Linked DNA regions of Coturnix japonica. The protein of the gene in region 1 interacts with the protein of each later gene in a biochemical or structural test. Links are inferred from orthologs where the notes say so. Each region holds a gene or a part of one and is shown on either strand. Other genes may lie near its edges.

The links.
Region 2: the proteins of TDRD3 (region 1) and TOP3B form a complex in vitro, tested with the Homo sapiens proteins (2 studies listed by BioGRID and IntAct, with this or other methods). The link is inferred for Coturnix japonica from reciprocal best matches to the Homo sapiens genes TDRD3 and TOP3B.

What each region holds. Positions count from the first base shown.
Region 1 is NC_029516.1:145,150,986-145,156,250, forward strand, and holds part of TDRD3 (tudor domain-containing protein 3), read right to left. Parts: intron 4,531-5,265; coding exon 3,692-4,530; intron 2,097-3,691; coding exon 1,971-2,096; intron 1-1,970. UniProt on the Homo sapiens protein: Scaffolding protein that specifically recognizes and binds dimethylarginine-containing proteins. Plays a role in the regulation of translation of target mRNAs by binding Arg/Gly-rich motifs (GAR) in dimethylarginine-containing proteins.
Region 2 is NC_029530.1:347,970-353,234, reverse strand, and holds part of TOP3B (DNA topoisomerase 3-beta-1), read right to left. Parts: intron 5,019-5,265; coding exon 4,822-5,018; intron 4,557-4,821; coding exon 4,400-4,556; intron 3,297-4,399; coding exon 3,183-3,296; intron 2,271-3,182; coding exon 2,180-2,270; intron 1,876-2,179; coding exon 1,721-1,875; intron 1,485-1,720; coding exon 1,379-1,484; intron 860-1,378; coding exon 713-859; intron 1-712. UniProt on the Homo sapiens protein: Releases the supercoiling and torsional tension of DNA introduced during the DNA replication and transcription by transiently cleaving and rejoining one strand of the DNA duplex.

The DNA of each region.
Region 1 (5,265 bases):
ATAGCTCTGTGAGCTATAATAAACAACATTATGAAATTTAAGGTATCACCATAAAAAGTAAGATAAAATGTCTGCCAAAATAAATGAGCTACAGATCAAGACCCCCTGCTCTTTTGTTTCCTCAATGCTTTCCCTGTTGGAGGGTCCAAAACAGGTGAGTTGCAACGCCACCACACAACATAACAGGCTGCAGAAGAACTGGAATTATACATACTTTCACTTTTACTTACATACATATAAAATATTTTTATATAAATAATAATTTAAACAAATAAATTATTAAAAATATTATATATAATTCATCTTGCCTTTTTATCTATAAGCAGAAACACAAGTTTCAGGAAGAGAAAATTACACCAGCTCAAGTTCTCAAAGCAAGAGAGAGAATTTTCAGAGAGTTAAAGTAAAATAAATGTCAATACTTGAGATTATCATCAGAAATGATGAAAAAAGTCTAGCAGTGACCTGTGCTGCATTAAGCAAGGTATTACCAGCAGCAAGAAAGTTATCTTTCCCCTTTATTTAGCACTGGCAAGGCCACACCTGGATCACTGCAAACAGTTCTGGGCTCCTCAGTACAAGAGAGACTCCAGCAGCTCAGGACCATGAAGATGATGATGGGACAAGAGCACCTCTCCTGCAAGGAGAAGCTGAGACTGCTGGGCCTGTTCAGCCTCAGTAACAAGAGTCTTGGGGGAAAGCTAATCAGCATATATATACACAGGCTCTTGAAGGTAGGGTGCAATAAGGACAGAGCCAGGCTCTTTTCAGTGATGCCTAGTTCCAGTTCAAGAGGCAATGGGCAGAAACTGAAATGCTTGACTCCCAGTGCACTACCTGATGTTATGATGTGGAATATCAGTAACCAAGAATCATAAAACCATTTCTAGGTTTAACAACCTAGAAATAAGATCAAAATAAGCACAATCATACAGTAAAAAGCGGTTTATCACTGCACCTCAACAAGTGGGATAAAAAGAAAAAAAAAAAAAAAAAAAAGTTAATTTCCTTAGACTGCAATGCTTCAGCTCAGAAGTGCTTCAGAGACCTTTCTAAGTACAAAAAGGCCATCTCAGAGGCCATAAGAACATCTGAGACTTACAAGCAACAACATAAATTAAATGACCACTGGCAGAAAACAGAAGTTGACTATTAACAGCCTCTGCAGCAGTACTGACACGACTAAATGGCCAAGAGGTAAGAAATGAAAAGAAGCACTTTCAGCTTGTCATTAAGGAATCAAAGCACAGATTCATATACTTTTTTGTGCATCTTTCTATCATGAGTAAACAGCAAGGGACTGCAATCCTATTTCTTTTGTTTATGTTTTTGAACTTCTTGTACTTTTTGTACTTCTACTTCCATGACATTCAAAAATAAAGCCCCTTGAAATTAATATACAGTTACTATAAGGCTAATACATTCTAAATGTTGTAAAGCAGACTTCCAGGCATAAACCTCTCCCTTAATATTCACCAAAGAATTAGCTTTAGAAAATAAAATCATGATGCAAAATAAAATGATTCACACAGATGTATTTGTTTAGCCATACATTCACACACAGTATAAGTCCTCAGGATATATAAAGACTGTTTACTAACCTTTACAGAAAAAAATACAACGTATACAAAATAAAACAATAATAATCTATGTTTAATACAGTAAATGAAACTTTTATAAATAATGTATGCATAAAACCATTTAGCTGACAGGTCAATTAAAGTATTCATTTTACAGCAATACAATTTAAATTTCTTATATATAAAGAACACTACATGATAATATACTTAGGAACATTAAGTAGATTCATATAGATAACTAAAAGATTTTGCTTGTGTATTCACTTCTTAACTATTTTTCTACACGTGCAATTATCACTCTTTGCAGGAGTAGGCATTCATTTGCCAAGTTATGTATTTTGTTACAGACTATGTAATTTATATGTTTGTATTCAATTTGTTATCACATACCCAGGTGTCTGCATGAATAGGCCTGATGTTGCTGAGAAGCACCTCTTCATAATTTCCATAGTCACAGAATTTAACAACTGCAGTCATTCCAGAAGAATGGAGAGCTTCAACTTCTGCCCGGTAGAACTTAAAAGAGAAATTTTCAAAGGTCATAAAATACTACCTGATGTGCCACAAACAGCTTGAAAACAACCTCTTCATTTTCACTCTCCTCCCCATTCTTGGTCTTGGTCAGTAAATTTTCAGTAAAATTTGTTGCAGATAATTATCTATTAAACTTTTACATGTCCCATGACTGAAAGATTGTGGCTGCATGTATTTAAAATACTCACTGAAAATATATACTACTTAGGACATTAGGTTGAACATTTAAAAGATCTTTTTTCAAAGACAAATTAATCATCAACACCAATGATGTTGTATATAAGAAATACTAATGCAAGACTTTCTTTTTAATTATTATTACTGTTTAAGTGCCTGGCAGGCACTTGCACACATACAACTATTTTAAGTATATAATAACACATAACTATTTAAGCACGTACTAAAATAAGATCCTTCTAAAATTCTTCCTTTTTTCATCACTTTCTTTTAGTAATTTATGCAAAGAAATCAACTGCTTTTGAATCTATTTTTCTTTCTGAACACATAGAAGTCATTATCATACAGCAAGATTAAAACTCATTGCTGTATTTTATCATTCTATTTTAAAATTATGCTAGATGCAAGCAGCAGCATTTGTTGTAACTGCTAAAAAAACAACCATCATCAAAACACACTGGATACTTCTCAGGCAGCAGTGTCGTATCTGCTTATTTTGCAAGTTTCATGCTTTTCAGAATTTCAACAACACATCTCATAGTGACATAAAGCGCTTCTGAAGACAGGAAATAATTCCTTAATATGCTATTATATTTCAAACAAATCCTTCCGAGATATATATTCATATTAAAGCACCAACTAACTATATGCTACTGCCATCAAAAATTTTGCATGACTTATTTCAGTCAAATAAAAAAGTGACACTGCTGAGCTAACAGTATCTACATCTCTTGTCATAAAAGAAATCTTATTAATTGGAAGAGGAACAATTTAAGCTTTGAAAAATCAGTAAAACAGAACTGTCATGCATCACACTCCATTTGTTCCACAGCTCCTTCAGCTAGGAGACTACTATTGATAATAAAATCCAGTCTTTTTGTAATGACTGAAATAAGAGTGGAATTTGTTTTAAACAGTCCCATCCCTGCAGACACTCCAGTCTTCTCCTGTACTAGTGAAGGCTGCATGATGTCTTATTCTAGTGGAAGTCATTACATATCTGTAGTTACAAACTACTCGGGATAACAGAGCATCCCAGTCTTATTCTTTAGAAAGTAACAAAGGCAACCAGACCCATTTAATTCCTTCAAATTTTAAACACCTACATGAAATATGTCTCAGTTAGGAGCCTAGCTATCCCATATGAGGGAAACAGACACTGTCAAGATGATCTGGGTCACATACTTTCAAGAAATTAATACAATCTACATATCTCCTTTTAAAACAAACAACAACAAACATGCAAAGAAAAAACAAAAAAACATTAGAACAAGAAGCAGGCCACAAAGCACAGTATACACCTATGAACAAAGACCTTTGTCTTTGTGCTGGTGTGCTAAGTCTACATCAAGTATATAAGAAAGCTAATTTGAACTACTCAACGTCTGGCAAACACATACCTTGTTGTCTTCCCAATAAAGAGCAAAACACTCATCCCCAGGTCTCCAGGTTTTTCCGTACTCTGCATGAATCGATGGTTCCATTATTTTCTCTGGTTTGATGGGCCCAGATCTCCTTTTGGGTCCAGTGTTGTAATACAAAATTTTGTCATCATAAGACGGAATCACATTAGGTCCTGGCGATTTGATAGGCCCTACTCGTCTTCCTTTCTGATGATGTTCTGTATCTCCATTCGGAATAGAATTAAAATTATCAGTTCTGCAAGTGTTTTGGTAATCATTATTCACACCAAAATGTTGCTCACTTTTTACCATAAAGGTTTCATTACTTATTGTTCGTGCTTTCCTATCACAAAAGTTTTCAGAATTGTGTATTTGATTTTCCCTTTTCCCACGTCTCTGGTTATTGTTGTCTGTAGTATCTTGAGCAGCAGAGTTCTCCTTGAATTCTGTGAAAGACACCCCTTTTCCTATTCTGTTTTGCATATTGTTATCCCTTTTTTTAAAGGAAATATCACTCTGGTGAGCAGCTACGGGATAACCCAAATCCTTTGGCCTATCATTTCTAGGATAATGTCTGTCACTTTTGATTTTCTCATCTGTCCAATGTTCTGAAGAGTTGTGCCTTTCAGGACCTCTGTTTCTTGGTAATCCCCCACTTTCCAAAGCCTGCCTTGAATTCTGAATATCTCTTTGAAAACGAGGGGGCTTCTCATTCCTTGGTTGTCTCATGTCATTGCGAGAAATATGCCTTGAATGATTCTCTTTGATGCCATTCTGTTCTGTATTCATAACTTTGGGCTGTACTTGATATGGTGGTTGAAATTGCAATTTTGGTTCTATGAAGAGAAAAGAATAATGATTATATATATAAATATATATAGTACAGAAATAGTGGATCAGATACTAAATGATAAAAGTGACAATATTATTCAGAAAAACAAGTAGCATTTACACGTGAGATAAATAGATGGAATTGTCCGTTGAAGTTTAGCAGATATTTGAACTGCAATTACCGATTAATAGAAAACACACATATGTCTTGGCGGTACTTAAATTAGTCATTAGTAAATGAGTAACAATTGTTTAAGAAAGACGAATTCTGATGTGAAGAAACAAAGAGGCAGGAAAATGAGGAGAAAAAAGAAATAGCTGTCATCTGAAAATTTTAATTCAGTAAAAATAAACTGCTAACAGCTGTTAAGCATTAACATAAAGGCAAGAAACAAAATTGATAGAATGAACACAACAGACAAACAAAATCTGATGGGAATAGCAAAAAAGTCCAGAATTATGAAGATAGTGATCAATAAGCCATAGCAGGGACTATTCAAGTGTAACCATCAAAAGACTCAGAACTCTCACTGATACTAAGTGGAACAAAATTATCATGGACCTAATGAGAAGGAGAAGATTTTCTATTGCACTGTGGGGTGAGAGAAGACCATGTAGTTCTGTGAAACTTAATGTGGATATTTTACTTTTACTTGTGATTTTTTTCACTTTTTATGAAACATTAAAGGGAAAAGCCAAAGGTCATAGATAAAAATGAATCTAAGAGGATCAAGCACAAG
Region 2 (5,265 bases), on another chromosome or scaffold:
TTCACAGCTTTCAAAGGGCCAAGACACACACTTCTAATTTTAACACGGGCTACACGATGCACATCAAAGTTGAGAGGCTGTTTGCCATTCCCTGCAGACAATATTTGAAATACTGTATCAAGAGATGGGATCTCCAACGGCATAAAAACTTCTGTGGATAAATCGAGTCCTGCTGATATATGGAGAAAAAAACAAAACAAAACTGAAAAAACAACCGAACAGGGCTTTCCTCAAACAAAAGCACAGTGCCAGAAGTCTTACCAAGTGGATGGGAAGAGTCTCTTAAAAAGAAAGTGCAAATACTAAGTTGTATTAATGTAGCAGATGACTGGGACAGCCCGCTGTGAACATTTCACTGAGGGTACTATAGTCCTTTTCCTGAGGCTCAAGGGAAAAATATAAGAAAAAACCATCAGCCTTTGTGCAACATAAACCACAACAGGATCTGCAGTCTGAAAAAAGACTGGTCTTTCCACCGGTCAGTGTGGCATTAAAGCTTTGAGACCACTACATGGGAAGTACATCCTTTTCCAGCATAACGTAAATAAGGAAGCGAAGACCAAGATTCAGTCCTTGTCATCTTAATAAGCTCCAGGAAAAAAGAAGTCTTAAATTCTACTTGCCTCCAAAACTTCACTTTTATATCTATTTAATGCATGAGTGGGTAAAATAATAAACGGTGCCTAACTACTTACTCCCTGGTTAGTTTTACCTGGTGAAGTTACCACTTTCCCAACGCAGTTAAAACGTTCAGGGCCAATGCTGACAGAAATGTTGGTTTGTAGGTACTTGCAATCAGCGCTCACAGTGGCAATGAAATGCCTAGTGATGTACTCATACAGCCGCCATCCATCTCCACCTGAGGATAAACAATATCTTACTCCCACAAATCAAGTCCTGCAGCACTACATAAAATTTGCGCTAAAAGATATCAGATTTCCACAGAAACCACAGGGAAAACTGGTACCTAAGAGAAAATAGGATTGAAAAGTCCATCCAGCTTCCCCTTCAAAATTTCCTACCCATAAAATCATACTTGTTAGAATCCTGTGCTACATTAACTTCAACTTTTTCTTTTTAAATATGCTATCAATCGGGCTGCCTGACAAACTAGCACAGAACAGACAAGAGCTACACACAGTTTCCTTAATCACAACATATAGCTAGGAAATCAAATAGCAGAGAGGTTATAATACTATAAACAGAAACTTAGCTCCTAAGTATCAGTCTTGTGCTTTGCATATTTCATCCTATTGTGTACAAAGAAGTTTTACATAGCCATTCAGTAAGCTGTATGGCTACTCAAAGTCTTAACATGCTTCTTTATCAGAGAACCAATTTCCTCACAGTGTTCTAACACTATTCAGTTTGTCTGTACCTAATTCTGCTTCTGTTGCAGCTTTCATTGGAGTGATGGGTGGATGGTCACCTGCATCGTGGCCTTTCCTTGGACGATTGATGCCTTCTGATAGCAATGCTTTTACCTGGGTCAAGGAAAAGAGAGAAAACGGGTTGAAGTGGATAGCAGGTCTCTACTATCAGGTTAGAAGTTGTTTTTTTTTTTAAGATCAAATCCATAACTACAATATCTGTAAGTAAAAGCAATTACAGATACTTGTTGTTTGCAGAGACCTACAGATCAAGACATACCAGGTAAGATGTTCTAAAAACACAGACTAGAGAACCACCTGTAGAACAGTACAGGTTTTGATTTACTCACCGTTTCTGCCCAGTAAGGATTATTAGCTTGTTGTCTCAAGCATCCTTTCAAGTCAAAGTTTTCTGGATAATGGGTAGTTTCTGTTCGAGGGTAGCTAATATAACCCTGTGTATAAAGACGCTCTGCTATTTGCATGGCGTGTTGCGGACCCATTCCTGGGATGGCACAGGAGAGAACAAAATCATACAGCAATCTGTAGATGCCTTTGGTTGCTGAGTCTTAAAGCACACCTTGTCAAAACATTTAAGCTAATTACAAATTACAACTTGTCCTTTCTATAAGACTTTTGCCACCTTGATCTGACCCAGTACTTTTGACATGCTTTCTAAACTTGCTTCCCAAAAGTGATACACTGTAGGGAGACTTATTAAAATATTACATATGGGCTTGATTATTTCAGCTGAGAATCCAAAGTATTTTGCTCTAAATCAGTGTGAAAATCTAAACTTTTACACGTACCTAAAGCAGCACTGGCCACTCGTAGCATTTCTACCGTGTTCAGAGCCAGTGGTCTCTGCTTCACCTTCTCTTTTTTACTCACAGATTCTACCTAGAAAATAGCATTTTTCCAGTAAAAGTTTTGAAGTTTGGTAACTGATAAATGTAAAATGTCTATTATGACTAAAACCATGTGGTATTCCTACCAGGACCTGCTTTCGTCACATCTGTGTTTTGATATTTTTCCGTAGAAAAGTAACCGTCAGATCTGGTGGAAATCTGATGGGAAACAGCTTTACCAAATGCTGAAGGAATAGCCCCAGGGTCCCTTCACATTATGGACTAGATCAGACCTACCACTGGACATGAAGGGATGTAGCTTACTGCTACCTTCACTTCCCATTTAGCTCTGCAGCACATACATCAGTGCTACAAGGGAGTAGTGCTCAACCCAAGTAACGGTCCTAGATATAAGGATCTCAACTTTTTAAAACACCGTGTAGCCTCTGAACGTTGGTAGCTGTAAACACTTAAATCCCAACACAGTGTCAGACAAGCATTGAACAGAACAGCAGGTTAGTTGGCTATAAGGACTGTACCGTACAAAGTTAAAAACTTAACTGCAGGAATGTTGTTCTATAAGTAAATAGATTTCGATCTATGCAGTGTCCTGTGGGAAACAAGAGGTCTGCTTGGGGAGTTCTGAACTGTGCTTCTCAGCAAGTTCAGCAATGAAGACTGTTAATTCCTATCGTGAATGATGACCATTTCCAAAGTCAATATTAAGAATGGGCTTCTGTTGAGATGACCATACTAATGTAACACAAACTACAAGCAAGAATCTTTTGCCTTTTACTTATCATTTACACAAAGTTGAATGAAATAAAAAAAGATAAGGATTATATTTCTTAACCTTCTTCGCCAAAAGAAGGCTCAAAAAAACCAATATACAGTAGATGAACTATTGAGTAGTATTTCCTTTATGTGAAATAAGCTCTACCAACACCTAAGTAAATAGTTCTACCTTTGCTTCTTTTGCAGCCTTTGTTATATTTAGGAACATCTGAGCGATCTCACGATCAAATACCCGCACTCTGTCCCAACTCAAAGTGAGAGAACTTTCCTTTTCAGGGTTCACCTGATGGATCAAAAACAAACAACAACAAATTAATTCCCACCAGCACTATTACTAAAAGTGCAGAATGCACTTCAGCAATAATCCAGCAAGTAAACCTTAGTAGTAGTTGTTTTACAAGTGCTCCAAGCATGCAGCTGTACTCATTTTCCAGTGGCTTCTGAGAAAGAGTAATTTGAGTTCTGGGGCAAGGAGAATGACTGAAATTATTCTTGCAGTTAACTGAAATACTGTGCTTATTTTAAATACTTGGAATAACAAAGGCAAAATGGGCCGAAATTCAAAGTTTAACATTTTCACTTAGCAAAATTCATTAATTCTTTGCATTAAAAATAAAATGTACGTGGGCCACAATCCAAGTCCCTCCTACAAAAGTAAATATGAACTAATCAATGTGTGTGCATGAAACACCCTGAAAACAGGAACCAAATGCTTCCTAGCATGACACATATAAAGGAGATATAGCAGAAAACAGATAAGAGTAGACACTGGATTTCAACTTTTTTTTCTTTTTAAATTTTAAAATCTAAAAATAGCAACTTTTTACCATCTATCTCCTATTTATTTACACAATCCTTGTCATCACAAACAGTAAAACCATGTTGGTTAGCGCTCCAAGTTGGAACAGCAGCAAGGCTATAAAACTGCCATAAACTGCCAAAGCATTCAGAAGACTCAGTGCCAACACAGTGAACATTTTATTTGCTTCAGAATTCCAATACTCAGCAATGCCAATGCTCACTGGCAGACAAATTAATTCTTGGATTCAAATTAACACCACAGTTGGTCCAAGGACCCCAGGGAACAATAACAGGCCATTTTAAGTAGTCTTTCTGGCTCAGTCTAAGCTTAGATGGTTACCACTAAAGAATTTTTACAAGCAGCACACAATAACCGCTTGAACACAGAACCGACATCCTCAAATCTATTAAGAGAGTGGTGACACACATGTGAACTGAATGAAAATAGACGAGTAAACTGTAGGCACTGTGAATTCTTGTCAGCAGCTACAAATTCATGAATGGACAAAATGAAAGTGTTAAGTCCGTTTCTTACTATATAAGAAGGAAAACATGTTTTAATCAAACAAATAACACATAACTTACTTTAGCCTGCAGCACCCAGTAAGTCTCAGGCTTGAATGACTGGATTTTGTCGTGCCTTTCAACACAGAAACCAAGTGTTGGTGTTTGACATGGCCCAAAGGAGATGAGGGAGCTGTCTAAGTTTCCGTATTTCCCCTGAAAATACTTAGTCTGAAACCTTAAGGAAAAGATCAAATAAAGCATCAAGTAGATGAATATCCTCATTCCCATGCAAAGCAGCAACTTTCAGGAACTTTCCCAGATACGTATGAATAATCTGCCAAGTCACTCATGTATATTTAAAAAAACCAAAAACTTCACAGTATAAAATTGTTTGCTTTGGTAACTCAGTAGAATTAACCACTGCAGCTCTAAGGCACATTCTATGGACAGGGCAGTATTCCTGAACCTTTCATAAAACCATCTGCAATCTGTGCTGTTACCTTGTAAACGCGCAGCCAATTCTGAGATCCAGCTCCTGGCGGGCATCCACTGAAAGGGCTTCATTGCGATTGGGTTCTCCCAAATGATTCATGGCATTGCAGATGTCTGTGTCAGTAATAGAACTGAATTTAGCTCTATAAATCGTCCTTTCGGTGCTAGGAAGTTTGTTCATAACAGGAAGAACAGCATCAAGAACCTAAGGAGGATCAGAAGAGGATTTTGTAAGTAACTGAAAGCTGAGGGCTTAAGTCAGTTCTTTCCTCTGGAGGGAAAAAAAACAAACCAAACCCTCCCCACAAAACATCTGCTGATGTGTAACACTGCTACACAGTAACACTGTGAATATCTGATGAATATGTATCAGTTTCTACCTAGGTTGCCAGGGCACAGTTATGAAGTGGTGGTATTTAAAGAACTTAAACACTTGCTAAAATGTGCTTCTT